Callithrix jacchus: one gene and its partners. The protein of the gene in region 4 purifies or fractionates together with the protein of the main gene of each other region. This does not show direct contact. Links are inferred from orthologs where the notes say so. Each region holds a gene or a part of one and is shown on either strand. Other genes may lie near its edges.

What was found.
Region 1: the proteins of RPRD1B (region 4) and POLR2M purify together in Homo sapiens (affinity purification with mass spectrometry; 3 studies listed by BioGRID and IntAct, counting the BioPlex papers as one, with this or other methods). This does not show direct contact. The link is inferred for Callithrix jacchus from reciprocal best matches to the Homo sapiens genes RPRD1B and POLR2M.
Region 2: the proteins of RPRD1B (region 4) and POLR2J purify together in Homo sapiens (affinity purification with mass spectrometry; 3 studies listed by BioGRID and IntAct, counting the BioPlex papers as one, with this or other methods). This does not show direct contact. The link is inferred for Callithrix jacchus from reciprocal best matches to the Homo sapiens genes RPRD1B and POLR2J.
Region 3: the proteins of RPRD1B (region 4) and GPN1 purify together in Homo sapiens (affinity purification with mass spectrometry; 3 studies listed by BioGRID and IntAct, counting the BioPlex papers as one, with this or other methods). This does not show direct contact. The link is inferred for Callithrix jacchus from reciprocal best matches to the Homo sapiens genes RPRD1B and GPN1.

What each region holds. Positions count from the first base shown.
Region 1 is NC_133509.1:3,680,439-3,688,110, forward strand, and holds part of POLR2M (protein GRINL1A), read left to right. Parts: intron 1-1,351; coding exon 1,352-1,999; intron 2,000-4,572; coding exon 4,573-4,777; intron 4,778-6,784; coding exon 6,785-6,928; 3' UTR 6,929-7,672.
Region 2 is NC_133503.1:11,370,264-11,378,366, forward strand, and holds the start of POLR2J (DNA-directed RNA polymerase II subunit RPB11-a), read left to right. Parts: upstream 1-3,393; 5' UTR 3,394-3,465; coding exon 3,466-3,518; intron 3,519-6,128; coding exon 6,129-6,218; intron 6,219-7,693; coding exon 7,694-7,868; intron 7,869-8,103. UniProt on the Homo sapiens protein: Core component of RNA polymerase II (Pol II), a DNA-dependent RNA polymerase which synthesizes mRNA precursors and many functional non-coding RNAs using the four ribonucleoside triphosphates as substrates.
Region 3 is NC_133515.1:87,404,153-87,411,824, reverse strand, and holds part of GPN1 (GPN-loop GTPase 1), read left to right. Parts: intron 1-1,817; coding exon 1,818-1,896; intron 1,897-2,111; coding exon 2,112-2,206; intron 2,207-5,392; coding exon 5,393-5,438; intron 5,439-6,066; coding exon 6,067-6,213; intron 6,214-7,364; coding exon 7,365-7,447; intron 7,448-7,672. UniProt on the Homo sapiens protein: Small GTPase required for proper nuclear import of RNA polymerase II (RNAPII). May act at an RNAP assembly step prior to nuclear import.
Region 4 is NC_133506.1:33,507,494-33,515,165, forward strand, and holds part of RPRD1B (regulation of nuclear pre-mRNA domain-containing protein 1B), read left to right. Parts: intron 1-2,859; coding exon 2,860-3,035; intron 3,036-4,807; coding exon of another isoform or gene 4,808-4,855; exon of another isoform or gene 4,856-6,823; intron 6,824-7,672. UniProt on the Homo sapiens protein: Interacts with phosphorylated C-terminal heptapeptide repeat domain (CTD) of the largest RNA polymerase II subunit POLR2A, and participates in dephosphorylation of the CTD by RPAP2. Transcriptional regulator which enhances expression of CCND1.

The DNA of each region.
Region 1 (7,672 bases), on a different chromosome or scaffold from region 4:
AGGAACCGGAGGAAATGGGGAGAGTGGGATGTGAGGAGCTGTTTATTAGGCCGGGAAAGTTCGACCCTCATTCAGCTGGCTGATTTAAAGGATTTTAGTAGGGGAGCCACGTGATAAAAGTGATTTTGTGTTTTGGGCAGTTGTGTTCAGCAGCTTCGTGCAAAAGATGGTTTGAAGGAATAAAAAGCAGAGGACAGTAGAAGGATGCTTGCAGAGAGGCTCCCCACGAGAGAGTTGTAAGGAAGTGAACTAGGAAGGAATTGGGAAAACTTTAAGCATGGACTAATTTACATGTAGTTGGCAGAGATGGCCGAAGTTTCCTATGTATATGGAACACCACTAGCAAAAAATAGGAAAATTCGGGGAGAGGAATAGATCCAAGGTTGATTTTACTTAGGGTGTGCGGAGGTGAGAGGAGAGCAGGACAGACATTTGGTTAAGTGAAAACCAAACAAAAGCTGGAGAAGCAGTCATGAGGCTCAAGAAAGAGAGAAATTGGAAAAATATAGAAAACATAGGAATTTCAGCTGTAGTGTTGTCAGTTGTGAGAATGAATGCATTGTCGAAAAGAACAGAGGACCCAGGGTTTAATTTTTTCTCTCCATTGATTCTATAAAGAAAAGGGAATCAGAAAAGGAACTCTGTTATCCAACAAAAGAGATAAATATTTGATTGGGGTCCAGACAGGTGTTTTGACCTTGTGAGAACAGGTTTTCAATCTATGGCAGTGAATTAACTTTCTGGTCTTGGGACTCCTTTATACTTTAAGAATTATTGACATCCCATGGAATTATTTATGTGTTATATCTAGCAAAATTCATTTACTTATCAGAAATGCAGCTGAAGTCTTTAAAACGTAAGTATACACAAGCACACATTCTATTCTAGAACAATGATGTCATCACATGTCATGTAGCCTCTGGAAAACTCCACTGTACCCATGTGAGGAAGTGAGAGGGAAATAACATCTTGGTATTATGATGAAAGTAGTTTTGACCTAATAGACCCATCCCCACACTCAACCCCATCCTCACATTTTGGAGATTTAATGACTGCTGGTTCTTGGAATGCCTTACGTGATTATTATATGCTTGAAGTACTTTTGCTGAAATTCTAATTTGCTGAGACAAATGAGGCATATATTCTCTGTTCCTGCATTCCCGTGTTTTTTGGGCTCTTTGGATAATGGCCATTTATTTGTTTTATTCCCATTTTGGAGAAGTTAGAAATCAGATATTCGATTTAAAAAATTGGCTTTTTTTCTTACAAGTTAATGCTTAGCTTCTTTAATGTTGTATGTCAAGTTTAAAAACGTGACTGTAATATATATGTATTCTTTTCCATTTGACAGAAAATTCATTTGCAAATTGCCCGACAAAGGTAAAAAGATTTTTGACTCTGTTGCCAAACTGAAAGCTGCCATTGCAGAACGTGAAGAAGTTAGAAGAAAAAGTGAACTGTTTCATGCTGTTAGTTTAGACTGTCAGCTAAGGCAAGAAGCCACTGCAGAGGTGGATGTCGATACAGATAAGGCCCGGAATTCTGACCAGATACTTGATGCTTCATCACTAGCTCCTGGCTGTTCCTCTGTAGATAACATCAAGTCATTTGAAACAACCTCACGAAACCAGGGACTTGGACGTCCTACTCATGAAGGTGATGAAGAGACTCCAGAGGTTGAGTACGCAGTGAGTAAGGGCCCAGCTTCCAGCAACAGAGACGGAGCGCCGCCTTCGTCTGAAGCTAGTGAGCATCACCCGCAGCATCGTGTTTCAAGTCAAGCAGAAGATACTTCCAGCAGCTCTGACAGCCTGTTTATTGACAGGTTACAGGGGATCAGCATTGCAGACCAGGGTGAACAACAGTCAGAAGAAAGCACAGGTGCCATGAACTTGACAGGCCTTTCTCATGCGACTCAGAAGAAGCCTCATTACATGGAAGTGCTAGAAACGCGAGCCAAAAACCCAGTGCCCCAGCTGCATACATTTAAGACCAATGTGTAAGTACCATCGGAAACAGGCCTGTAACAGGGGCATAGTATTTGTTAAACCTAAAAAGTTACGAGAAGCTGGTTGTGATGGTGCTTGTCTGTAGTCCCAGGCTTCTCAGGAGGCTGAGGTGGGAAGACAGCTTGAGGACAGGAGTTGGAGAAGGTTGGGCAACCTTTTCTTTTAAAAAAAAGTCAGGAGAATGCTCTAAGTTCCGTGGCTTTGTGTGAGAACTGCCTGTTAGAAAAGAACATACTGTGGAAACACAGACCAGCCTGGATGGAGTGGAAGATTCATGTTGAAAAATACTTAGTTTTGAAAAGGTCTTAAATAGCACATGGGGGAGTATTAAATTTCAGGCTGTGACCCGGTATTTCCTAATAAACAGGGTTGGAGAGAGAATTTATTATGACTTCTTTTTTTCGGAACCATTTTTTACCGTACAGCTCTGATTAGTGTACTATCAAAGTGTACTCACTGTGATTAGTCTGTGAACTAAGGGGAAGGCAGTTGCAGCTGGAGCTCATGGGCTTTCCAGCAGAAGAGATGTGCATGCTCACTAAATGTAAGCAAGCAGCAGGTGTTGTGGGGACACAGTGAAGTCAAAATTCTTAAACTCCTTTGCCTTATTAATGTTGTATCTCAAGTTTAAAAACATGGCCATAATGTATACACGTATAATGTAATAAACTCCCTGTTCTTCAGTGAGGTTAGGAGCTGGATGAAGACCCAAGGTTTACACACTTGCAAAAGAGTTAAACTACATACTAATAGTTTCAGGGAGAAGGAAGCTGAGAAGCGGTTTGAAAACTGTGAAAATAGATTCATGCAGGATGGGCAGAAACTCTGCTTATCAGTTCCTTGCCATAAATTTATTTCTGACATTTCAGGAAAAATAAAATCTTTTTGAAAAGAATTGCTATTTACTTGCAGCAAATGTAACATTCAGCTCGGGTAACTGCTACCTTCCCGTGCTGTATTTACAAGTACATAACATCAAATGCACCGTTAAATCACTACTACCATTCTCTGAAAAACAGAAGACCTCTAGCGAAAAGTACCTAAAACATGCGTCTTTTCTGTTACACTTTAACTCAACCCCAGCATTCATTTTAACCTGAAAACGTGATTTCTGCTGAATACAAAATCAGGACTATAGTATATTAATGTGGTCAGGTAATCTCTTGTATACAGTGAAGTACACGTTTCACTTCCAGGATGACATGTAGAAAACTAGAACCGTCATCTAGCCAATAAATACAACAAAGAATACATTAATCCCAGTTCTGTATTATGGTCATTTATGTAGGAGTTGGAGGGAGATAAGGGAATAGTGATGAGGGTTACCAAGAGTGCAGGAAGTTTAAGAGAGAGGGAGCCTCCTGTGTAGTTAAAGGAGAGCAGGAAAGGCAGGGCTTTGAGGAGTCCAGAGGCTACACACATGGTAAGAAGTGGCTTGGAGGCTGGAAAATGGGCTTAGGGAGTGTCCGTTTGAGCCTTTCTGCTCTTCCTTCTGCATACTCTTCTGGCCTCGTATATCACCTGGATGCTGGAGGCTGCCCCTTGTCTACCTCTACTCCAGATCTTCCAGAAGTTTTAGGGTTACATGGCCAATTAGCCATAACACTTGACCACTTGGGTGTTCCCTGGCATCTCAGCTTAATCATGTACAAAGTGGCACCCCTGTTTCTTTCCAAGGTAATTTCCATATTCTCTAATAGTGTCCCCACCTTCTTCTTGGTTTTCTTCCCCCAAGGTATCTTTCATTTTTCTCATCTCCTTATCTGCTCACCATGAAGACCTACGTAATGTATTTTCCTTGATCTTCATCTGTATAATTGTTCTTCATCTTCTGTCAGAGTGAAGACACTCCCCTCTCTTGGGCTACAACTGTGGCTTCTTCCTGCCTCTAGTTTAACTAGCAGTCAGTCTCCACTGCTGCCAGAGTGAAATTTTAAGATGGAAATCTGAACTTGTTCTGTTGACCTTCTCATTGCAGTCTGGGCTCATCCTACTTCCCAGCCCTCTCTGTGGCCGTCTTTTCTGTATAGCAGAAAAGCTGGGTGTCTGTGCCTGCTGTGCTTCCTCTCACTCCCCTTGCTGGGATGCACTTCTCTCCTCATTTAAGGGGTAAGCAGTTATTATTCCAAGACTGTTCAAATGTCACTTCTTGGAAGCTTTTCTGACAACCTCCCTGTCTCCCACGGGAACTGGCCATTTCCTTATGTTCCAGTGTATCTCGTTGAGGTATCTGTCATAGTACCTCTGGTATTATATCGCACTGAAACTTTACATGTTTATTTCTCTCTACGAGGCAGTAAACCCTTTTGCAAATGTTCATTGAATGAATAAGTGAAAAAAGAAAAGCTCCAGTTAAAGTATAAGGTTTGATGAAGGAAAAGGCAAAGAGCCTGTATGCGCAAACACACTCCTATTTGTCAGCGCAGTGAATATTGGGAAACTGCTTACTATTACCTTTGGAGGAGAATTGATTGCTAAGGTTAAAGGCCTTTTGTGTGAATGGTTTAAATGTGTCTACAAATAAAGAAAATAGTCTGTGTGACACAAGTTTTCCTTTTATCAGATTACCTTCTCGACAAATTGATTCATCTGGTGACGGTCAGAAGAGAAGGTCTCCCATTTCCGCAGAAGAGCGGCGGCGCAGGGATAAGCAGCACCTCGATGACATCACAGCAGCTCGGCTTCTGCCCCTTCACCACACGCCCGCGCAGCTGCTCTCCATAGAAGAGTCTTTGGCACTTCAGAAACAGCAGAAACAGAATTATGAGGTATTTAGAGTATTGTTTTTCTCTCGTCTGTTTGTTGGGTGCTGCTTACATAAGTCAGAATTTATTCCAGGTTCAAGGAGGATGGACTGGAATAGAGGGGATTAGGTGCTTCCATGAGCTGAGACCTATACCACTGGTTTTCAGAGTCACAAAGTTGGTAGAACTGCAGGAAACAGCTAGAGATGAACAGCAATCTGCAACATTAAAGTGGGTTTTTGGGAGGCCGAGGCGGGTGGATCATGAGGTCAAGAGATCGAGACCATCCTGGTCAACAAGGTGAAATCCCGTCTCTACTAAAAATACAAAAATTAGCTGGGCATGGTGGCGCATGCCTGTAATCCCAGCTACTCAGGAGGCTGAGGCAGGAGAATTGCCTGAACCCAGGAGGCGGAGGTTGTGGTGAGCCGAGATCGCGCCATTGCACTCCAGCCTGGGTAACAAGAGCGAAACTCCGTCTCAAAAAAAAAAAAAAGTGGTGCTTTGCCAGAAGATGTGGGGAGACTGCTGTAGAATTTCAGGTCTCAAAGCTCACGCACCTGCCTGTTCTGTTAGGATAGTCGTGGCATCGCATCCCTCCCTGTCTCTCCCTTTCACCTTGTAAAACCCATGTGGCAGCTTCTCAGTGGTGGACTCTAACCCAGACCCCTTCTAGAATGAGGAAATGTAGTTCCCAGGCTTCTGTCTCCTGCAGTACAGGGGAGGGCATAGAAGGAGTGGGAGGATAGTGTTGTTTAGCCGGCAGACTGTCCTGTCTCATTTCCTAGATGTTGCTTATTTTGATTTCAGTCAGGTACTAGTGCACCAGTTAGTATAACAGCAGGCTGCACAGAGCAAGACCGTATCTTCGCAAGAAAATTAGCCAGGCATTGTGGCACGTGACTGTGGTCCCAGCTACGTGTGGGGCTGAGGTAGGATTGCTTAGGCCCAGGAGGTTGAGGCTTCAGTGAGCTGCAGTTGCACCGCTGCACTCTATACAGCCTGGGTGACAGAGTGAGACCCTGTCTCCAAAAAACGAACAACAAAACAGGCTGATAATCTGCGTTGGCTTTTCATAGAAGGCTTGGCATGGATTGGCGTTTTCAAGGTGCTATTGTTTAAAAAAAACCCATTTTTCTTTCTCTCAGTGCATTAAAATGACTGACTAGTCATGACCGTAGCATTGAGGAAGTGTTGCTTAAATTGTCTCTGGGCTCTTAAATGCCGGTTCTAAGATATTTTTAGGTTCAATTAAACCTTCGGCTTGAAATTGGTTTTCTTGGGAGAGAGGTTGTGGTAGTAATGGCTCCGACTTTTACTTACCCATATTCATGGCTTGAAGTGAAGGACATGAAGAACCTCAGGAAAGCGTGAGAAAAGGGAAGAACGGAATTAGGAGTGACTTTGCCAGCTGCCGTCAGTTGGTGGTAAGGTCCCTGGAGGTTTGTAAGCACATTGCCAGTGTCTGAAATTTACTTGGACTTTTTGTTGAATACTAGTTGCTGTAGGACTTTATGTGGCGAGAAATAGCTTCTTAGTATTAATTTCTTGATTTTTATTTTGCCATTGAAATTCAGTTCTCAAGTCTAGAAGCTGTGATTGTGATTAGGGAAGAAGGTTCTGTCAGTTGTAGAAATGTAGACAGTGTTAGTGATTTTTGACATTTGATAGCTCAAGTTGTTAGGCGAGTGCGTATATATGTGCACATGCCCACATATTCAATGCATCTGAATTTATAAGTATTGTAGTGCTAAGGTGATGACTCATTTTTTTGAACAGAAGAGTGTATTTCAGTGCAATGTTGTTTATTAATGGAGGTCAGTAACTTCAACTGTAGCAGGCTGGTGGCTGTTAGAAGCATTGCTCTGTTGTGTCTGTGATAGGGCACAGCCATCAGGCTCGCATTGCCAGAGACAGTACTCAGTGAGATGTCAGTGCCCCTCTTATTTCTGATTCTAATAACTTCCCATTGAAAAATTGTAAGGAAGAGATGTGACTATGTAACTTTTTGCTTTGCTCTTTGTTTTAAAGGAGATGCAAGCAAAGCTCGCTGCGCAAAAATTAGCTGAAAGACTGAATATTAAAATGCGGAGTTATAATCCAGAAGGGGAGTCTTCAGGGAGATACCGAGAAGTAAGGGATGAAGATGACGATGGGTCCTCTGACGAATTCTGAAGATAATCTCCTAAATCACTGACGTTGAGATGTCATCATCTTACATCAGACTTTCCAACTAGTATCAAGATCAGTGTCAGATAGTGTAGAAGGAAGTCATTTTATAAAGTCACACAAAGGTAGTTATAAAAAATCCCATTTGTCTTTCGGAAGATGGCTTTCGTGTGCTTGAAAAGTTTAATATTTGAATATTGTGTTTAACCACATTGTATTACAATTTTGCCGTGTGTTGTGTATTGGTCTGATATTTTAGTATACAGTAGAACATACTTTATTTCTTTACGCCAAATGAAAAGAGGTGATTTTGCTTTTTTCCTTATGCTTACCTATCAAATAGCATTTATTCCATGTCTCTCAGTGACATACTTATTTGTCCCAGGCATCTAAAATCTGTGAGGAAGACATAGTTCGCTTCTTTTTTGGGTAAGGAAGGGAGCAGTCTAAAGAGCTGTATGCACGTTGGCATGGGGTTATTGAGACACTGGATGTGAAATACCTAGGAAGACATGCATGGAAAATGCTTAAATGCGTTTGTCCTTTTTTCTGTCTTTCCTTAGGAAGAATGTTAACTCTTTTGATTAGGAAGGAATTCTTTTTTGAGTGGATGCTGGAGGGTGGAGGTCTTTTTAAATAATCTTCTGTTACTTCAGGCAAATCTGGTATAGGAAAAGTCCAAGCTAACTGCGCTAGGTGAAGGCTTGTGCATCACCTGACTTGAGCTCCTTGCTGTCACAGATGATAGGT
Region 2 (8,103 bases), on a different chromosome or scaffold from region 4:
CACCACCCTGCAGAGACTTCAAGGCCTGGTATTCAACTGGGGCCTGGGGCAGGTTCCCAGATGTTTTGCTCTTTTTCTTGAGATGGAGCCTTGCTCTGTCGCCCAGGCTAGAGTGCAGTGGCACAGTCTACTCACTGTAACCTCTGCCTCCCGGATTCAAGCGATTCTCCTGCCTCGGCCTCCCCAGTAGCTGGGATTACAGGTGCCTGCCACCACGGCCGGCTAATTTTTTTTTCATTTTTAGTAGAGATGGGATTTCACCATCTTGGCCAGATTGCTCTCAAACTCCTGACCTGGTGATCCACCCACTTGGCCTCCCAAAGTGCTGTGATTACAAGTGTGAGCCACCGCACCCAGCCTATTTTGTCTTTTTAGTAGAGATGGGATTTCATGGGGTTTCACCATGTAGGCCAGGCTGGTCTCAAATTTCTGACCTCAGATGATCCTTCTGGCTTAGCCTCCCAAAATGCTGAGATTACAGGCATAAGCCATCGAACCTGGCTTTTTTTTTTTTTTTTTTTTTTTTTGAGACAAAGTCTCCCTCTGTCACCCAGGCTGGAGGATAGTGACATAATCTCGACTCACTGCAACCTCCACCTTCTGAGTTCAAGTGATTCTCCCACCTCAGCCTCCTGAGTAGCTGGAATTACAGGTGCCTACCACCACACCTGACTCATTTTTTAATTTTTAGTAGAGAGAGACAGGGTTTCACCATATTGGTCAGACTGGTTTTGAACTCCTGACCTCAAGTGATCTGCCAACCTCATCCTCTCAAAGTGCTGGGATTACAGGCATGAGCTACCTTGCCCAGTCCCAGAAGTCTGGATGATCTGATTGGACCCCCAGGCAGCTATCTGCAGCACAGGGGCTGGTGTTCGCCACAGAGCAGGCACCCTGGGAAGCCCTGAGGGGCCCCAGCTCATCCAGTGCCTGCTTCTCTCAACCTCTTTGGAAATCTGAACAGATTGGCAGCAACCGCCTCCACACAAAGCCTTGTCAAAGTATAACTTCAAATACATACAAAGAAAAATAGTAATGATTCATATATAGAATGAACACCCATCAAAGATCAATTACACATCAGTTCAGAAGTGTTCGGGAACTCTGAATCATGTATGATTCTGAGAATCTGGGTACATGTATTTCATGTATTTGTAAGTTTTTTTTTGTTTTTTTGTTTTTTGAGACAGGGTCTCATTCTGCCACCCAGACTGGAGTGCAGTGGTGCAATCATAGCTCACTGCAGCCTCGACGTCCTGGGCTCAAGAGATCCTATTGCTTCAGCCTTCTAAGTAAACAGAACTACAGGCACATACTACTATGCGCAGCTGATTTTTAAAATTTGTAGTAGAGACAAGATCTCGCTCTATTGCCCAGGCTAGTGTCAAACTCCTGGGCTCAAGCAATCCTCCCTCCTCAGCCTCCCAAAGAGCTAGGACTGCAGATATGAGCCACTGTGCCTGGCCAGTAAGCATTTTAAGAGAAGCAACCCAGACAAAGATTGTGATGTTAGATACGAACCAGTTAATGAAGTTTTCTTTTCTATGGGATAGAAACTGCAAGTTAATAAGTAACTTCAGTGTCTGGGCTGTAATCAAACAAGCAGGAAAGTCAACACAGCCACAATCCCTGAGATTAGGATCAGCAAACGTTTTCTGTAAAGGACCAGGCATGCAGCTCTGAGTCACAACCACTCTGCCACGTAGCACAAAAGCAACTACAGCCAACGTGTAACAAATCAGCATGGCGTGTGTGGCTGGGGTGGAGCTCATGCCTATAATCCCAGCACTTTGGGAGGCCAAGGTGAGAAGATCACTTGAGGCCAGGGGTTTGAGACCAGCTTGGGCAACAAAGTTGGACCCCCCCCCCCCCATCTCTACAAAAAGTAAAAAAAAAATAAATAAATAACTGGGTGCTGTGGTGTCTGCCTGTGGTCTTAGCTATTGGGGAGGCTGAGGCAGGAGGACTTGACCTCGTGGGAGGCCTGCCTCAGCCTCCCACCGTGGTGGGATTGAGCCCAGGAGCTTGAGGCTGTAGTGAGCTATGATGTCGACACTGCACTGCAGCCTGGGCGACAGAGCTGGTGTCACACCACTGCACTCCAGCCTGGGTGACAGAGCTGGTATCACACCACTGCACTCCAGCCTGGGCGACAGAGCTGGTATCACACCACTGCACTCCAGCCTGGGCGACAGAGCTGATATCACACCACTGCACTCCAGCCTGGGCGACAGAGCTGATATCACACCACTGCACTCCAGCCTGAAGACAGAGCTGATATCACACCACTGCACTCCAGCCTGGGCGACAGAGCTGGTATCACACCACTGCACTCCAGCCTGGGCGACAGAGCTGATATCACACCACTGCACTCCAGCCTGGGCGACAGAGTAAGACTCCGTCTCAAGGAGGGCCTTTATGCTAAACTGTAGTCTGCAAAACAGCCAAACCAAAAGGTAAGATAGACTTATCCACCAAGTGCAGTGGCTCAATCTTAGCCCTTTGGGAGGCTGAGATGAGAGAATTGCTGGAAGCCAGGAGTTCAAGACCAGCCTGGGCAACACAGCAAGACCCCAACTCTTAAAAGAAAACTAGCTAGGTGTGATGGCACGTGCCTGCAAGTCCTAGCTACTTGAAAGGCTGAAGTGGATCTCCGGAGCCCGGGAGTTGGAGGCTGCATTGAGCTATGATGGCACCACTGCACTCCAGCCTGGGCGACAGAGTGAGCCACTGTCTCTAAATGATAATAATATATAAAAAGATTTACATAACCCTCCGAGCTCCCTCTCACTGCTGTATACACCCGCCTCCTTCCCCATCCGTCACCCAACTGTCCCTCCCTTCTAACAAGCCAGTGGCATCCCAGCCAGGGGTCTCACAGCAGTCGGTGTAGGCAGCCTCGGCAGGGGGCTTAGCACAGATCTGCCTCTGGCCACGAGACCTTCCTCAGCTCCCCTCACGGCTGCCAGCCGCAGCTGCCCATTCCCCTTAGCTCTATTCTCTCTATTCAGGGGCCTCCTGCTGTGCACTCCAAGGGGGTGCACGGTTGCAAAGCGAGATCAAGGGTCGTGGGGAGCAGAGAGGCACAGCTTGGGGTTTCCACTCAGTCAGGATTAGGAGATCTCTGGAGGGGCAGAGCAGCCCTCCCGGCGCTCTGAGCATGCGCCAAAAAGCGCCCACGTTGAAAGCCACGAGGGGGTGAGGGGGTGGGAGTTGGGGGGGTGGGGCTTCCATACTGACGCAGGCGCAGAGGTACTGGCCTCGCTCGGGCTTTTCTCGCTCCTGCGCAAGATCCTCCAGCCCAATAGGGGGCGATGAGCTGGTCCCTACGCTAGTTTGACCCGCCAGAGTAATCCGGAAGAAGCCTCTTACTAGGGCTTCGGAGGCGGCGGCAGCGGACGCTTAGGGTCTGGACGCGGCAGTGGTGGCGGCGGCGGCGGCGGCGGCGGCGGCGGCGGCAGGAGTATGAACGCCCCTCCAGCCTTCGAGTCGTTCTTGCTCTTCGAAGGCGAGAAGAAGTAAGTGACGCCAGCTGGGAGGAGCCGAGGTTTGCGGGGCTGCGACTGTCGCATTCCGGGGGCGTTTCCTGCCCATGTCTTGCTCCGGGAGGGAAGCAGCTTTTGCCTGATAGTCCGCACGGCCTGTGTCGGCCAAATTTAAGCCAGTTCCGGGAGGCAGTGGCGAGTGTGTCCATTTGGCAGATGAGGACACTGAGGCTCGGAGGAGCAAGTTGCCCCAGACACGGAGGAGGTGGCGGGGCTTGTATTCGAACCCAGAGTGTCTGGCTCTCCATAGCCCTCTTCCTCTGGGACGTGGCAGCCTCCTCTCTTGTCTTCCGCCCGCCGCCTCCATCCCCCGTGTCCTTTGATTTGCCAACGGCCTGTGTAAAAGCCGCAGTGGCTTCTTGCTGCCTGCTGGTTGAAGGAGTCCCCGGGAGAGACAGCTTGGGCTTGGCCCCTGGGTCCCCCACTTAGCGACTGTATCTGTACGAGTGCCGTGATCTTTTGGAGGCCCTGTTTCCTTTTCTGGAAAATGGATTTGTTACTTTTCATTTTTTTCGAAACGGAGTTTTGCTCCTGTTGCCCAGGCTGGAGTGCAATGGCGCGATTTCGGCTCACTGCAACCTCCACCTCCCAGGTGCAAGCAATTCTCCTGCCTCAGCTTCCTGAGTAGCTGGAATTACAAGCATGCGCCACCACGCCCGGCTAATTTCTTATTTTTGGTAGAGACGCGGTTTCTCTATATTAGCCTGTGTGGTCTCGAACTCCCAATCTCAGCTGATGCTCCTGCCTCGGCCTCCCAGAGTGCAGGCATTACAGGCGTGAGTGACGGCCTCCGGTCTATTACTGTTCTTAAACATGGGATTTGGCCAGGTGCGCTGGCTCACGCGTTTAATCCCATCACTTTGGGAGGCTGGCTTGAGCACAGGAGTTGCAGGCTCCAGTGAGCTGTGATCGCATCACTGCACTCCAGCCTGGGCGACAGAGTGAGATCTTGTCTCAAAAAGAATTGGATGAGGTAATTTGTGTCAAGCACTTGGTCTAAAGCTCGGCACCTGGAAGACCTCATAACCACTGGCTCTTACTGTTCCCAGGTTGGCGTGCAGAGGTCTTGGTCTGGCCCTTGCCGGCCAGTTTGGCCTTTTTTTTTTTTTTTGGACAGTCTCACTCTGTCCACCCAGGCTGGAGTGCAATGGTGTGATCTCACGGCAACCTCCACCTCCATGTCCCAGGTTCAAGTGATTTTCCTGCCTCAGCCTCCTGAATAGCTGGGATTACAGGCATGCACCATCACATCCGGCTAATTGTGTGTTTTTAGTAGAGACCGGGTTTCTCCATGTTGGTCAGGCTGGTCTCAAACTCCCAACCTCAGGTGATCTGCCCGTCTCTGCCTCCCAAAGTGCTGGGATTACAGGTGTGAGCCAGTGCACCGGGCTTGGCCTCATTTTAGAGCAGACTCTCAGCTGGGGACCATTTGGCAATAATTGGGGACATTTATGGTGTCAAAGGGGGTTATGACTGGAATCTACTGGATAGAGGTCAGGGTGCTGCTGCTGTCCAGCAAGATAGCACCCCACAGGAAAGAATCATGCAGCCTAAAACGTCTGTGGTGTCAACATGGAGAAACTACCTTAGAAAAAAGGGGCAGTCAGGCACAGTGGCTCACGCCTGTAATCCCAGCACTTTGGGAGGCTCAGGCAGTTGGATCACGAGGTCAGGCGTTCAAGACCAGCCTGGCCAACATGGTGAAATCCCGTCTCTGCTAAAAATGCAAAAAAAAAAAAAAAAAAGCCGAGCATGGTGGCACACGCCTGTAACCCCAGCTGCTCAGGAGGCTGAGGCAGAATTACTTGAACTGGGGAGGCAGAGGTTGAAGTGAGTCGAGATTGTGCCACTACACTCCAGCCTGGGCAACAGAGCAAGACTCCATCTCAAAAGAAAAAAAGGAGCAGGCTAGGCATGGTGGCATGCGCCTGTGGTCCCAGCTACTCAGGAGGCTAAGGCTGGAGGCTACAGTGAGCTGTGATCACACCACTGCACTCCAGCCTGGGCAGCAGGAGGGATCACTTGAGGCAAGTTCAAGACCAACCAGGACGACAAAGCAAAACCTCATCTCTTCTAAAAGAGAGGGAGAGGAAAGACAAGAGGAGGAACTCCGAGAAGGGCCAAGGTTCCACAGACCTGGGGTAGGGAATCAGGCTGGAGAGGTCTTTATGGGAGGAAGAGATTGAGAAAGGTCTTCAGGAGGAGGCAGAGCTTTTCATTTTTATTTTTTTGAGACAGTCTTGCTCTGTTGCCTAGGCTGGAGTGCAGTGGCGCAATCTTGGCTCACTTCAACCTCCTCCCAGGTTCAAGTGATTCTCCTGCCTCAGCCTCCCAAGTAGCTGAGAACACAAGCATGGACCACCACACCCAGTTTGGGTTTTATTTTTAGTAGACAAAGTTTCACCATGTTGGCCAGGCTGGTCTGGAACTCCTGACTTCAGGTCATCCATCTACCTCAGCCTCCCAAAGGGTGGGGATTACAGACATGAACCACTGCACCTGGTCCGAAGGAGGCAGGGTTTAGACTTGGGGTGGGCGGAGGGGAGCCCCTGTCCCTCATCTGTGGCCTCTGTGTCTTCCTAGGATCACCATTAACAAGGACACCAAGGTACCCAATGCCTGTTTGTTCACCATCAACAAAGAAGACCACACACTGGGAAACATCATTAAATCGTAAGTTTCCCGTCAAAGGCTCTCAGGGGCTATGTTTAATAGGCGCCTCTGGGCAAAACAGAAGTTTTAAGATTTTCCTCCATCTCTCAGCTACAGGAAGTCCTTCTGGGGGCTTGCTCTGGGCATTTGGTAATGTTGGTACTTTATCAAAATGACGCTGACCTTCATGTCTTCACATAAGCTACGCTTCTGTAGTGGCTTATTCTGTAGACAAACGTGCATTTACTTTTTTTTTTTTTTGGGAGTTTTTGCTCGTTGCCCAGGCTAGAGTGCAGTGGCGCAATTTTGGCTCACTGCAACTTCTGCCTCCCAGATTCAAGCGATTCTCCTGCTGGGACTGGCCACCATGACCTGCTAATTTTTGTGTTCTCAGTAGAGGCGGGGTTTCACTATGTTGGCTAGACTGGTCTTGAACTCCTGACCTCAGGTGATTCACCTGCCTTGGCTTCTCAAAGTACTGGGATTACAGGCATGAGCCACGCACCCAGCCTTCCATTCACTGTTAAGTGCACGTTCTGTGAGTGAGTGAGAGCAGGTTCCAGCAGAGTAGGCCTGTGTGTTCATGGGCTGAGGGGCACTGAGCAGCAGTCAAGATTAGCTCCCCCAATGCCACCCCTATTTGTGACCTCAGTGCCACCTGGCACGCTTAAGATGTATGTGGCAGAGATGAGAACTTGTGTTTAACAAGGGAAAGAGGTAGGGGAGTTCTGTGGTTGTCCAGTGCCAGACAGGTGCCTGGCCTTGGTTCATGGGTGTTCCTTTACACCACTGAAGTCCTAGCTAGGTGGTTGATTAGGAATGTGACTGTCATTTCACTTGTAGACTTGGCTCTTCCCTCTGGTGCCATCAGTGAAGCCAGGCTTTTCCCAGGCTGTGAGAGGTGTGCCCAGGCACAGGGATGGAGGACTCCTCCCCGGAGTCCAGCCAGTGCAGCCCCTATGCTCTCCTCCAGCCCAGTGTTGCCAGCTGTGCACGGGTGTCCTTTGTGGTGCTCACAGGAGACCCTGCGTGCCCAGGGCACAGCACACAATGCTGCCCAGAGCCTGGGCCCTCCTCTCCTTGCTGCCTTTATTTGCTGTGGGATGTTCTTTTTGGGTCCGATTCATTGAACACTGGCTGGACATCCACTGCCTGGGAGATCTCTTTGCCAGCCCTGTGGTTCTTTGTGGGAAGAGGTTGCTGGAGGCTGTTTCCTGCTCAGGTCCTTCAACCTTAGGGGTGCAGGGAGGGGGTGTGTGTGTCTTCTCCCCTTCAACTTCATGCATGCAGGGTGTGTCCGAGTTGGGGGTGGGGTGTCCCCATATGATCTATCCTCCTGAAAGCATTGCTTTCCTTGAAGACTCTTGGGGGGGAAAAAAAAACCGGGGGGAATATTTGGCTAGAAAGCCTGTCCTTTCACTCTGAGCCGGCTTCTGCCTGGCCTGAGCCTAGAGGGCACAAGGCTAGATTCTCACACTGTCTTCCTTGGATTTCAGACAATTGCTAAAGGACCCACAGGTGCTATTTGCCGGCTACAAAGTCCCCCACCCCTTGGAGCACAAGATCATCATCCGAGTGCAGACCACGCCGGACTACAGCCCTCAGGAGGCCTTCACCAACGCCATCACTGACCTCATCAGCGAGCTGTCCCTGCTGGAGGAACGCTTCCGGGTGAGGGCAGGGCGGGCTGGATGCTGGGCCCCTTTGCCAAGCTGGTGACAGCCCTGGGCTGTTTCTTTGGAGAAGCGGTGCTGATGGAAGAGCAGGGACTTCTTTGCAGGCTCCAGGCCTGTGGCTCCTGTCTGACCTCTGTAGTGCTGCAGGGTTCCTCTCCTGCTGTGGGCTGGATCAGAGCCAGGGACCTGCTCTCATGTAGGGCTGTTCTTCTGAGTCCCTTGTCTGTGGT
Region 3 (7,672 bases), on a different chromosome or scaffold from region 4:
TTTTTTTTAAATCTAATTTTTGCTCTATTGCCCAGGCTGGAGTGCGGTGGTATGATTTCAGCCCACTGCAACCTTCGCCTCCAAGGTTCAAGTGATCCTCCTGCTTCAGTCTCCCAAGTGGCTGGTATTACGGGTGCCTGCCACCATGCCTGACTAATTTTTGTATTTTTAGTAGAGATGGGGTTTCACCATGTTGGCCAGGCTGATCTCGAACTCCTAACCTCAAGTGATCTGCCTGCCTCAGCCTCCTAAAGTGCTGGGATTACAGGTGTGAGCCACCATTCCCAGCTATTTTGTGTTTTTTGTAGAGATGAGGTTTTGCTGTGTTGCCTAGTCCTGTCTGAAACTTGTGGGCTCAGGCGATCTGCTTGCCTCAGCCTCCCAACGTGCTAGAATTATAGGTGTGAGCCACCTATAATAAGCCTGGCCTAGAGGTTTTTTTTTTTTTTAAACAACAGCTTTATTAAGATATCATTCGTCTGGGTGCGGTGGCTCATGCCTGTAATTCCAGCTTTGGGAGGCTAAGGCGGGCGGATCACCTAAGGTCAGGAGTTTGAGACCAGCCTGGCCAACATGGTGAAACCCTGTCTCTACTAAAAAGGTACAAAAAATTAGCAGGGTGTGGTGGTGTGCACCTGTAACCCCAGCTACTCGGGAGGCTGAGGCAAGAGAATTGCTTGAATCTAGGAGGTGGAGGTTGCAGTGAGCTGAGATTGAGCCATTGCACTCCAGCCTGGGTGACAGGGCAAGACTCCGTCTCAAAAAAACAAAACGAAACAAGATATAATTCACGTACCATAAAGCTCACTCGTTGCAAGTGTATGGTTGTTTTAATCTGTTCACAGAGTTGTGTGTTGATCATTACTATGTAACTTCAGAATATTTTCATGATCCTAAAAAGAAACCCCATACTCATTACCAATTACTCTTTATTTTCCATTCCTCTCAGTCCCTAGTGGCTACCCATTTTCTATTCCCATTGGCAATACGATTTCTCCACAACCAGTTCCTCTGTAACCTCGCCAACATTTGTTGTTGTTGTTTTTGATTATAGCCATTCTAGTGGGTATTGTTATCTCATTGTGGTTTTTAACTTTTATTTCCTTAATAACTAATGATATTGAGCATCTTTTTAATGTACTTATTGGCCATTGGTATATATTTGTAGAAATGTCTATTAAAATTCTTTGCCAATTAAAAAATATTGATATAATTTTTAATTATATCAAATTAATTCACAAAAAAGTCAGTACATTTCATAAAAATAGCTTTACTGAGATAATTCACATACCATACAATTCACCCATTTGAAGTATATAATTCAGTGGCTTTTAGTATATTCATAGAATTGTGCAACAATCACCACAGTCAATTTTAGAAATTTTAATCATCTCAAGAAGTAACCTGATATTCTTCAGCTAGCACTTCCCTATCCCATTCCTCCCATTTTTCTACCTCTGTTCCACACACCACACTCACCCCACCCTAAGCAACCAGATATTTCCCAAGAGATTTACATCCTATTTTTGCTTCTTTCATTTTTAATGCATTGTGTTTCTGTAACTATAATAGATTCCCCTGTGATCATTTGCAGCAACTTATGGTCTGCTGTTCCTGCCCATTAACGTGAATATTGTTCATTGAACAAGGTGTAGGGGATCATCATGTGTAGTTTGAGGGCAATAGGAGGAAGTTAGATTTGGCAGTGTGAAGAGCTTATTCCAGTGTTGGATAACCAGATGTTTATCGTCTTACATGACGGAATATCCTTTAGCATAACACACATAACACTTTTTTAATGATCTTTCTTGACATAGATATGTGTTGATTGACACACCTGGACAGATTGAGGTATTCACCTGGTCAGCTTCTGGGACAATTATCACTGAGGCCCTTGTGAGTATTCTAGGACTTGCTACTGAGAGTAGCTAGAGGGGCTAGACTGAGTGAGAATTTATTTTTAATTGCCTTGGATGTTATATGACAGGGAGTTGTAGAAGCTCTGCAAACCCTTCCCAAAGTGGTTTTCCCTTGCTAAGGATGGTAGAAAAAGAGTTTGAGGACAGGTTGTGAGCCCTCTGACCAAGGCTTTGATTATTTTGTGGCTTTAGGCATCCTCATTTCCAACAGTTGTCATCTATGTAATGGACACATCAAGAAGTACCAACCCAGTGACTTTCATGTCCAACATGCTCTATGCCTGCAGGTAATTGCTTATTGGTGGGCAGTGTTCCATCAAGGTACAAGGCCTTTTTCTCTTCTTCTTCCTCTTTGTTTTTGAATCTGGTTGCTTATCCCTGGATTTATGCTCATTCATATTTGCTATTCAGTTGAGTGGCTGTGAGTTGAGGAAGGTCAGAGGAGAAAAGAGGCACATGTGCTGTTGGCGTTCCCTCTCAGTACGCTCTGATCATCCTCCCTTATTGTTACAAAAATAGGTGATGTATGAATATGAGCTGTCTGATAGTTGTTCCCAGTTGAATAAAATCCAAGTGTAAATAGAACAGAGTCCTCTGGACTGGGTCTGTCATCCCAGCAATTGGGAGGCCAAGGCGGGAAGATTGCTTGAGCTTGAGAATTTGAGATGGGCTGGGCAACAAGACTCTACCTCTACAAAAAATTAAAATTAGCCAGCATGGTGGCACGCCCCTTTAGTCCCAGCTACTTGGGAGGTTTAGGTGGGAGCATTGCTTGAGCTCAGGTGGTTGAGGCTGTAGTGAGCCATGATTGTGCCACTGCACTCCAGCTTAAGGCAATAAGACCCTGTCTCAAAAAAAAAAAAAAAAAAGGAAGAAGAAGAATAGAGTCCTCTGGCCTGAATGATTGCTGATAGAGTGAAATTGTAACATGAGGAGATACCACGAATAAGAGAATTTATCCATAATTGTAAAATGCACAGGTAGCCAGGCATGGTGGCTCATGCCTATAATCCCGGCATTTGGGGAGGCTGTGCTGGGAGGATTGCCTAAGCCAAGGAATTTGGGACCAGCCTGGGCACCATGGTCAAACCCCCATCTCTACTAAATATACAAAAACTAGGCATGGTGGTATGTGCCTGTAGTCCCAGCTACCTGGGAGGCAGAGGTGGGCGGATTACTTGAGCCTGGGAGGCCAGACTACAGTGAGCTGTGATCATGTCACTGTACTGCAGCTTGGGCAACAGAGTGAGACCTTGTCTCAAAAAACTAAAATGCACAAATTTGCCCCAAATGTGGCACCATTAGCAGAGGAAGGGCATGCTTCACTGGATATTAGTGCATTAAGACTGAGGAGCAAGGCAGACAGTTATTAAAGCTCAGGGAATTTAATTTTAAGGGTACACAAAAGCCATCACCAACATTTGTCTCTTCTAATATGACAAAGGATGTGCCTTTTTGTTGTATGCAAGAAATATTGATCCAAATAGAAATCTGAATATTGACAGCATTATTTTATTTTCATATTGTTTATTTATTTATTTATATATTTTTTGAGATGGAGTCTTACTCTGTCGCCCAGGCCTGGAGTACAGTGGCATGATCTCAGCTCACTGCAATTTCCACCTCCTGAGTTTAAGCGATTCTCCTGCCTCAGCCTCCTGAGTAGCTGGGATTACAGACACCCATCACCATGCTTGGTTAATTTTGTATTTTTAGTTGAGATGGGGTTTCACCGTGTTGGTCAGGCTGGTCTCAGACTCCTGAGCTCAAGTGATCTGCCTGCCTTGCTTGGTCTCCCAGTGTGCTGGGATTACAGGTATGAGCCACTGTGCCCTGGCCCATTTTTATATTAATTGTTTAAAAGACAATTATTTGATTTGTCTGATAGTGGTAATCATTTCTTTAAAAAAATAATTATTTTTTTATAATCATTTCATGATTAAACATACAGTTTAAATATGTTTAACTGTTTAAATATGTTAAACATACAGTTTAAACATACTGGTAATCATTTCATGATATAAACATACAGTTGACCCTTGGACAATTTTGGGGTTAGAGGAGCCAGCCCCTTTGGTATGGAAGACCTAAATATAACTTTGACTCCCCCAACATAATTACTAAAGGCCTACTGCTGATTGGAAACCTTGCTGGTAACATAAACAGATTAACACACATTATATATATTATATACTGTATTCGTATAATAAACGAAGCTAGAGCAAATAAGGGGAAGATATATTAACTATTCATTAAGTGAGGTAGGTCATCATAAAACTCTTCATTATCATCATCTTCATTTTGAGTAGTCTAAGAGAAGAGGTTGGTCTTGCTATTTCAGGGCCGGCAGAGGTGGAAGAAAAGCTGCATACAAATAAACCTTTCAGTTCAAACCCATGTTGTTTAAGGGTCAACTGTGCATCAAAATACCCTGTTACACACCTTAAATCTATACAATTTTTATTTGTCAAGTACACCTCAGTAAGGCTGGGGGTAGAAACATTTAAAAAACATTACTTTACAGATTGGAAAAAATTTTGATGTTCTTTTCCCAGCCTTACTGAGGTATAATTCACAAACAAAAGTTTTATCTATTTACGTGTCATTTGTAAAGCATAAAGGAGATAATACGTATAAAAGTGCTTGTTAGCGCTGTACCTAGATCACCCAGGTTGAGTATCCCATATCCAAACATTTGAAATCTGAAATGCTTCAAAATCTGAGACTTTTTGAACACTGACATGACACTCAGAGGAAATGCTTATTGGAGGATTTTGGATTTTCAGATTTGGGATGCTTAACCAATAAGTATTTACAAATATTCCAGAATCTGAAATCCAAAACACTTCTGGTTCCAAGTATCTCAGATAAGAAATTCTCAACCCGTAATCGGTATTCAATAAATGTTCATTTCCTTCTCTGAAAAATACCAATTTGATAAAAAACAAAACAGCAAGTTCAATACTAGGGCATTATTACTTCAAATGAGAGTGCGAGTGTGTGTGTTGTTTCTGGGTGGTGGTTATTTTCCTGTTGGGAGAGAAGATGTGAGTGTTATGTAAAATGGATAGGCTGGGCGTGGTGGCTCACACCTGTAATCCCAGCACTTTGGAAGGCTGAGGTGGGTGGATCATGAGGTCAAGAGATTGAGATCATCTGGGCCAATGTGGTGAAACCCGGTCTCTACTAAAAATATAAAAATTAGCTGGGCGTGGTGGAGTATGCCTGTAGTCCCAGCAATTGAGGAGGCTGAGGCAGGAGAATTGTTTGAACCAGGAGGCAGAGGGAGCCAAGACTGCGGCACTGCACTCAAGCCTGGTGGCAGAGTGAGGCTCCATCTCAAAAAAAAAAAAAAAGATGACTGCTTTTTAGATTCTGAACTCATTCCCCTTCTCTTAGTCCCAACATGCCGACACTGGATGAGCAAGAGCTTATGTGCTTTTTAAAATAACATCTCAATGTTTGGTTTTCAGCATCTTATACAAAACCAAGCTGCCTTTCATTGTGGTCATGAATAAAGTAAGTGTATTTTTCCTGTTGTGATTCACCATTTTTCATCAGAACCTTGTGGTTAGAAGGTTTGGGTGGGTCAGAGGATTATTTCAGATGCTGGAGACCAGATTCAGGCTTTACTGAAACAAATTCATAGGCACTTTGAGAAAATGAATCAATCAAATTGAATAAGTAATTGTTACTAACTCTTGTCTAAAACTATTTTAGGTAAGGTAGAGTAGCCCCTCAACCATAGTGTGTAGATTATCCCTCAGAGTCAAGACTGTAATTACGAGAGGGACAACTAGTCTACTGGGAGTGGCAATTAAAAAACACAAAACTTCCCTGTTGGTTGATGGCTAGGATGCAAGAGACCTTTTGACTTCAGAGCCTGGAATATGCTGGTGTCCATTCTGGCCCTGGTTACTTGGCAATGGATAGTGGAGGGTCAACTAAGAGAATACACATCTTCATTTAATTACGATGACTACACAATGATGGTGTTTCTTTGTGGCTTGTTGCAATGGAGGGGAAATAGAAGCAGAGCAAGAAAATAATATGGATGATATGCTCTTTGCTGTCACTACTTAATTTAAATAATAAAATTTGCCTTTGTTATCTCTGGTTTCTCATAATTGACTTCTCTCTGGTACAGACTGACATCATTGACCACAGCTTTGCAGTGGAATGGATGCAGGATTTTGAGGCTTTCCAAGATGCCTTGAATCAAGAGACTACATATGTCAGTAACCTGACTCGTTCAATGAGCCTGGTGCTAGATGAGTTTTACAGCTCACTCAGGGTAAATTTTCTCTCCTGCTTACACTGACGGCCTCTCCAGATTACCTGTTAACCCACAGAACTGGCTTTGAATCTGGCTGAGAAAGGAAGCTTATTACCTATTGAAAAATAACTTTTAAATCATTGCTTATTAAAAATTGTAGAGTGTACAAGAATAAGATAGGGACCCCAACTTCTGTTTTATATTTGGGAGAGAAGGCTACACATAGAATTAAAACATACGATATATTGTAGTAAGTACTTTAAGAATGATTGGAAGTTGGGCTTGATGGTGAGGCAGCAGATCAAAATGACCGATTTTGGAGGTTGTAGCATTAGAGGTATGCTTTGAAGAAGGGTAAGATTTATGTAAGCAAAAGCAGAGCGAGTTAATTGCCCAAGCAAAGGCATAGACAAAAGAATCATAGAAAGTGATTTGGTTTGGTTTGTTAGGGAATAGATAATAAGTCTTGTTAATTTTTCAGTTCTAATTATATCTTTTTTTTTCTTTTTTCCTTTGGAGAGGATCTTGCTTTGTTACCCATGCTGGAGTGCATTGACATGATCACAGCTCACTGCAGCCTTGAATTCCTAGTCTCAAGGGATCCTCCTGCCTCAGCCTCCCAAAGTGCTGGGAGTATAGGAGTGGACCACTGCCCTCAGCCCATATCTTTCTTTTCCAATTTTTTATTTCCCATGGACTTATTTCCATGACTTTTTTTTTGAGATGGAGTTTCGCTCTTGTTACCCAGGCTGGAGTGCAATGGCGCGACCTCGGCTCACTGCAACCTCCACCTCCTGGGTTCAGGCAATTCTCCTGCCTCAGCCTCCTGAGTAGCTGGGATTACAGGCACACACCACCATGCCCAGCTAATTTTTTGTATTTTTAGTAGAGACGGGGTTTCACCATGTTGACCAGGATGGTCTCGATCTCTTGACCTTGTGATCCACCCGCCTCGGCCTCCCAAAGTGCTGGGATTGCAGGCGTGAGCCACTGTGCCCGGCCCTCCATGACTTTTGAGTAGGTGTGCTGTTTTGTTCTTTTTTAGCCTGGCTTTTTGCCAAAAACTTCTCAAAGTATAAATCTCTTTTCATTAAGATTTTTTGACACTTGAACAAGTTAATGTACATCATTAAGAAATATACAGTGGTTTTTATGATGCTTTTTGGCAGGTGGTGGGTGTCTCTGCTGTTCTGGGTACTGGATTAGATGAACTCTTTGTGCAAGTCACCAGTGCTGCTGAAGAGTATGAAAGGTGAGGATAAAGGAAAATTCTATTGATGACATTTTAATAAGCTACAATTCTGATATGATAGCAGTTTTTCCAGGAAAAGCATTAAATTTTCATGATGGATGTATTATATTTGCCTTGCGTATGTGTATTGAATCAGGCCACACTTAGAAGTAACAAGTTCCCTTTAATTTTTTTTTTAATAGAAGTATAAATCTTCACTCTATTGAGTGATTAAGAGCGGGCATC
Region 4 (7,672 bases):
CGGCCTCCCAAAACACTGGGATTGCAGGTGTGACCCCCCTGCCTGGCCTTAAAGTCAGAGTCTTTCGTTGGCCTCTGTTACCTCAGAGACTTTTACCATTTTCCCCTCACTCACTGCTCAAGTCATATGGGCTCCTTGCCAGTCACTCTTTCCTTTTAGGGCCTTTGTACTTGCTGTCCCCTCTGCCTGAAATGGTCCTCCCCAGATAGTTACATGGCTCGTTCTCATTTTCTTAGTCGTTTATTTATGTATCACCTCAGCAAAGCTTACCCTGACAACTTTTTTCAAAATGTTGATCGCCCTCCCCTTCTAATGCCCCACTCTTTCTCCTCTGCCTTGTTTTTCTCTGTAGTTCTTATCTTTCGCTGATAAATAAGCATAATGTTGTGCATTGACTCTCTTCCTACCTGATAATATAAACTTGAGGGCAGAGAGTTTTTGTCCTTTTTGTTCTCTGCTGTTTCTGAGAGGCTAGGTAAAAGAACTTAGATTTGTTAAACTAATTGGAAAGTTTCGAGCAGAGGATTGGGGGGCATAAAACCTGTTTGGGGTGTGCTTAGGAGGAGAGCAGGTGGTTACACTTCTCTCAAAAGAGCTACAAGAGGGAGCAGGGAAATGGGTCAATAGTGGGAGAGCGATGTGTGGTTGGAATACATAGCAGGTTTGTGTGCTAGTAGCGTTCTTCAGGAAGGGAAGAGAGAATTTGCTGAGGTAGGGAAGACATGGGACAGTGCAGAAGTTTAGTCATTGAGGAAACAAGAGGGCATGAGATGCTGGTGCGCGCATGGAGAACTGGCTGAAAGAGGCGCACAGCCACTCACTGATGGGTGAAGGAGAGCGTGAGGACAGCCATGGGTAGGTCCCCTGGAGCGAGCATCTGGCTTCTGCGTTTTGACTGCATATTTTGTGTGACTCATTACACTATAATAAGTTACTTTTGTGGGTTGTAATTATTTGTGTAAATGAATTATTTCCTTTGTATAAGTTCTTAAGGCTGCGAATTGATTTTTTTAATCTTAAAAATTAGTATTTTCTTCACCATTTTTTGCCCTAGGTACCTAAACATCTTAGTGAATTAACGATTTTTTAAAAATGATCAATCAAGCAATAACAAAACTAAAACCAACCTCACCACCCCAGTAGCTTGCTCATGGACTGAGCCACTGAGCTAGGAGAAGTTTGACCTTTGTCCTCTGTGACTGAGATTGTCTCTTTCCTTTGTGCTCCATTCTGTTCACTTCTTCCCTTTCACCAAGGACTTTCTTGTGTTTCCCATCCCTGTGGAGGGTAGAAGTGCCTGATCTTTGGCATCACACCCAATCTGGAATCCTTCAGCAGTTCCTCTCCCAATATTCACAGTAAGCAGGTATCTAAAAGCCAGACGGCTGTTTGCCAGAGATACTGTGTTGGGAGTTCTTAAAACCTAGTTCCTCAGGAGAATGTGAACTCTCACCTCTGACATCCTGTATCCATAGGGAGTGTCACAGAACTATCCCCTGGAAATGCTGCACTCTGTGGTGCTCTTTGTTTCAAAGCACCAACCTGCTCTTTCGAGCCATTCAGGCCTTTTAAAAATGAGGTATACGTATTTAAAATTCTAATTTCACCACCACCGCCACGTAATTAATTCTATCAGTTCTTTGTTCATCACTTCTTCCCAAAATACCCTTTCTTATACTTCTCAGTTCCTCCGACCCTCAAAGGATGAGTTCCAACCCAGTAATTGGGTATGAAATCAGTCTAGTAGGTAATGACCAACAGTTTTTAAAAAACTGAATAGAAGATAGAGCACGCATAGTAAGAAGAGGTATTGTTTTATGAAGCTGGTTTCTTTTATTTTTCTATGTGTTTACGTAAGTGTATTTCTGCTGTGGGTCATGTTCAGAAACATTTGAAAACCTCTTTATCAGGCTTACATTTTGTTGAATGCAGGAAGAAGTTCATCCCTGTTTATCCCCAGGTCCAAGCTTACATAGTTTAAGAGATAGAGTACTATAGATCATTTTAGAAATCTGGCTTCGAGTCCCAACGTCTCAGCTCACTGCATATCAAAACCTGTCATGTATTTTATTTTATTTTTTTTGGATCTTAGTTCCCACATCAAAGAAATAAGTACATGCTATTTTTTATTCCAGTGGAATGTAAAAAGACTGCTTAATGAAATACAGTCGTCCCTCCATGTCCATGGGGGATTGGTTCCAAGACCTTCTGAGGATACCAAAATCCAAGGTTGCCCAAGGCCCTTAAATGAAATGGTGTGGAATTTGTCTATGACCTATGAACGTCTTCCCTTACACTTTAAATAATCTCTAGATCACTTACAGCTAATGTAGTGTAAATGCTATGTAAATAGTTCTTATTCTGTATTTTCTAAATTGTGGGGTTTTTTATTGTTATTTTTATTTGTGGGTTGTTTGGTCTGAGTATTTTCCATTCATGATTGATTGAATCCACAGATGCAGAACCCACAGATACAGGGGACCAACTGTAATATAAATGAAAGCACTTGAAATTCTCAGAGGCAAGGAACGATTCTTTTCATGGATGACCTTCAGTATCTCTTTCTGCTTGTTTTATCTGGAGAGCTTTTGCAGGAACAGGCATTTAGAAAGCCCTTGCAGAGCCCCCGCTCCTGGTAAAACTTACTTGCTTCAGGTAATTGAGGAGTGTCCTGTCTTGTTGACAGAGTGAATGCCTTTGGATTTCTTGGTCAATCAACCCATTGTTTGTCCACAGGTTCTGGCTTATGCTCAGACTCTGTATATTGGGAGAGAAACCATTAACATCCCCCAGAAATGTTTGTAATCGTACCTATGTGATTTGTATATTTTCTCTTTTTTTGGTCTCATTTGTACTTAGACAAAGAGGCAGCTGAACGTCTTTCGAAAACAGTAGATGAAGCATGTCTGTTACTAGCAGAATATAACGGGCGCCTGGCGGCAGAACTAGAGGACCGTCGCCAGCTGGCTCGGATGTTGGTGGAGTATACCCAGAATCAGAAAGATGTTTTGTCAGAGAAGGAGAAAAAGCTGGAGGTGAGTGCATTGAAAGGCAGACCCAGACTGCCCAAGTTTCCCTTCCTGTGGCCCACAATAGGAGGTTTTTATTATGCTTTGATTAACTACATTTTTATCATTGAAAAATTTATGATATGAATTCTGCATATCCATCAGATGCTGTAATTACTTGAACCAAGTTAAAAATTGAAGTCATGTTTTTATATGTCCAGGACAGAACAAATTAGACTCTAGGAAACAAACAGTGAACTCTTAATCACAGCCTTAGGAGCATAATACTGCTTTAGTTGCCAGGCTCAGTGGCTCACACCTGTAATCCCAGCATTTATGGGAGGCCGAGGTAGGTGGATCACGAGGTCAAGAGATCGAGACCATCCTGACCAACATGGTGAAACTCCGTCTCTACTAAAAAATACAAAAGTTAGCCAGGCGTGGTGGTGCACACTTGTAGTCCCAGCTACTCAGGAGGCTGAGGTAGAAGAATCACTTGAATCAGGAGGCAGAGGTTGCAGTGAGCCGAGATTGCGCCACTGTGCTCCAGCCTGGTGTCAGAGCAAGACTCCATCTCAAAAAAAGATTGCTTTAATTTTAACTCATGTTTAAAAAAAATTCTAAATTGAGGTACAAAAAGAAGAGCAGATCAGTGAAAACCAAAGAATATGCTTGGTAGTATTTGGGAAGTGTTAAAAAGCTTTTCTTCTACGTCATTTGGAGGTTTATCTCTGACTTGTATCCCTGCTGAGGCCAAGAAGTTGTCTGCCTCCATGATCTCTCTGTAGTCAGTTCTTAAATTTCACAGTAGTATTCATGTAGCCCCCAGTTCTCAAACTGTTGAGAACGAACTCATTTCTACCCTGGGTTGAGGACAGTCTGAGTGACCTTGGGGAGGGAGTTCAGAAACATTTCCTCACCATGTTTGGCTTTGTAATTAAGTACCTGGTGGCTCACCCTCGTGCTTGGTCCTGTGGGGATAACAGAGCCAGCAGTGTGAATGTCCAGGAACTTCTGCTGCCCCAGGCCGCTGCAATTCCTTTTCAGGAATGTCTGCTCTTCTTTTTTTAAGAGATGCGGAAGAGAGTTGGCAGCCAGTGGTTTTGTGAAGGAGGACGCTTCTGAGTTAGAGTGCCAGTCATGTTATGTTTCAAGAAATACTTCTTAAATCCCACTCAGAGTAAATGAAAGACGGAGCCATGTTGCCTCCGTGCTCAGGAAATGTGCTCTGGCACAGAAGGAGATAAGATTGAGCTAACTTAGAGGCTGAGATCATCATATTTGCCTTTCCACACAGTCGTCTGAGTTGGGAGGGGAAATGAGTAGTAGGCACTTTTTACCATAGCCTTACCTGCAATGATTATGGGAACTGTGATGGGTAGTGGTAGCAGGAGCTTCATATTCGTAGCCTGCTTGAATATGGAAGATGGGAAGGGCTGTAAAAATACTATGGCTTAGATTTAGACATCGGCACTGACCGGAGATCCTAAAGGGAGTTTCACGGCAGTACCAGACGGTCATTTATCTGAAATGCTCATCTTTCACTGAGGAAGCATTTTCAGCACTGTGCCCCGGGACTAATAAGAGAGTGTAATTAATGATTCTGGTTGTAAGTCACCATGCCATCTGTTGAACTGCCCCTTGGCGACACATTAAGGGCTTTCTCTGATCTGTCAGACATTGATTATCACGAGCAGCTGTTGTTGGGTGGAACGTGGCAAGCAACCATAGAGGACAGTGTCTTTGAGACCGGGTTGGTAGAACTGGTTAACTCTTTGTTCTGTTTTCCCTCCCCACAGTTGCACTCTCCTCTGTGTATTGTTGGGGAATCATTCTGGTTTCTATAGAACCAGTGGTTTCCTGGACGCTACGAGAGGGCATTAAGGTGGAGAAACAGATTAGAGATTTGGATCTCTTCAGTAACTTTCCAGTCTGCATTGCTCTGCCCAGTTCATTCAGTGGAATGGTGTTGGCATTCCATTGCTGAAGAAGCGGAACAGAAAGCCTCCCCCACTGGAACCAAAGTACAGAGCCTGAACTGAAGGTTTTTACCTCAAACCAGGCCTCCCAGGCACGTGAGCGGAACCATTGATTGTAAAAATAGAGCCAAACTTGCTGCATTTAAGAAAGCAAATGACTAGATACAATATAAGGTTTTGTTGTATTTCGTTTTGAGATGGAGTCTTGCTCTGTTGGAGTGCGGTGGTGTGACCTCAGATCACTGTAACCTCTACCTCCCAGGCTAAAGCGATCCCCCTATCTCAGCCTCCCAAGTAGCTGGGATTCCACGCATGTACCACCATGTCCAGCTAATTTTTTTATTTTTAGTAGAGACGGGATTTCACCATACTGGCCAGGCTGGTCTTGAACTCCTGGCCTCAAGTTATCTTCCTGCCTTGCAGTATAAGATTTGAGAGATGGTTTTAGTTCTTTTCTTTATCCATGCTTGCTAAAAATACAGGCAATCTGCTCTCCTGAACCTAAGATTTTTCTCTCACATTCTGTAATAGACTGGTCCTGTTCCATCACATCCCTGTGGTGGTGGCACAACTTGATAAATATGTGCCACTTGAAAGATGCGTAAATACTATGCGTTCCTTCAAACTGTCCGAAAGTCTCTCTCTGCGTGATGGGGCAGTACATAAAGTACCTGCTTTCTTAACACTCATTTTTGTAACACAGCCAGTCCATTTTAAAACTGCCAAATCAGAATGGTAATTACATCTTTTATTTTGTTAATCCTTTCATTGCCTTCAGTGTATACATACATGGAATTCTCAGAACTCTTTGGAGATGTGGTTATTTGCTTGGGAGTCCATTTTCTTCCCAGAGCTCTAACATACTTAGTTTTCTTTGTCCTTTCCTTCTTAAGTTGATATCTTGCTTTATGTAATAATTATCTTTTTCTCTTTCACTCGGGAATTTTATGTTGGTGGATTTTATGGAAGGAATTTTATGTCAGGATAAGGCATGTGATGATTCAAGAGCCTGGGATGTAGGAGAGGGAATTATAGCTCGAAGGAGGAGACTATGTTTCTTCCCTCAAGGAAATCATATTCTGGCATAAACAGCACAGGCGAACATAAAACCAAACCAACTGACTGTACCTAATGTAGATTAAGGAGGCGTTTGGCAGTTCTGATTGTGGTATAAGGTAGTCCAGACTTCCTCTCAGGCAATAAAACCTTTTTGTAAAAGGAACTAGCGGTTGAAGAAGAGTAGCGTGTTTATAAATCGGAGCAGTTAGACTGGGGCAGGCAGGTATCTGAAAAAACACAAAGCAGATGTGGGAAGGAGGTGCTGGAGACTACCAGTGGGGGCTTAAGGTCTGTGCTGTTGAAGAAGCTACCTCTTCGTTCAGGGAGTCAGCAAAGCCTGTGCCAGCCAGATGTACAAAGATGAACAAGATGCTCTTCTCCCCTCAAAGGGCTTACACTTGAGTTGGGGGAAACAGCAGCAAGCAAGGGGTTAATACAGAATTCAGGAAAGGTTGTCAGTAAGGAAAAATGTCAGTAAGACCTGTTTCTCCATTGAAATGACCAAGAAAAAAATGAAGATGCTAATAATAATTTGATCAGATGCTTATTAGAAATGTGCGAATTATCAAATCATGGGCAGTTTCTGAAACCATAATGCCTTCAGCAGGTCTCCCAGAGTGCTGGACTGTATGCTCTTTGAGTGCTCTCACAGTGCCAGGAACGTATTTGTTCCTCAATAAATATTCTGTAACTGAAATCCATCAATTGATGTAACCTTTTTTTGTAGAGAAAAGGTTTTGTTTTTTTAGGTTGCATTAAAAATGGCTTAACAAACCTGATTTAATGATTGATTGTAAAGAATATGTTAGTACAGAAAGGTAACCATTTTTAGCAATTTCTGTAGGTTTCTCTTTTCTGCTACTTTTCTTTTTTCCTTTAAGTAGAATTATGCTTTGTTTTGAGATAATCATTCATTGTTTTGTTTTGTTTTGTTTTGTTTTGTTTTGCTTTTGACTTTCGCTTCTGGGTGTCATGATTAACTTTGACCTATGATGTTGGCCCTTAAACACCAGGCATGGGTGGAAGGAATGCTGCTGAAAATCTGTTTGTAATGTTTCTGTCATGAAAATGAAAAAACCTAGAAATGGAAAAGAAGACATGTGGAAGGAGGCACAAATAGCAGCCCAAAGGGGAGATTAGGGAGTGTGGAGGGCATAGGAGAAAGCCTATTTGAAAAAGCAAAGGCCAAAGATGCCAGAAAAGCCTTCCAACTTCACTTCCAGAGCAAAGAGAAAGTATGTTTGTGGTTGACAGAGGTGACTCATTACTCCCAGGTGTCTACTGAAAGCTCATAAGACAGTCTGAGTGGGTTGGGCAGAGTTCCTGTCTTGTCAGTTTGAATAAAGCATGGTATGGACATGTTCCATTAGCACGATCAGTGCATGTGGAAAAGTGTCTCTGTGTGTGTGAGAAAAAGCCTATTTGTATAAGTATTAAAGAAAGAAAAAAGGTCAGGAATCTGTAGTTTTACCTTAACTGTTATTTATTTTTCTTTTTGAGACAGACTCTTGCTCTGTTGCCCAGGCTGGAGTGCAGTGGCATTATCTCAGCTCACTGCAACCTCCACCTCCTGGGTTCAAGCAATTCTCCTGCCTCAGCCTCCTGAGTAGCTGGGATTACAGGTGC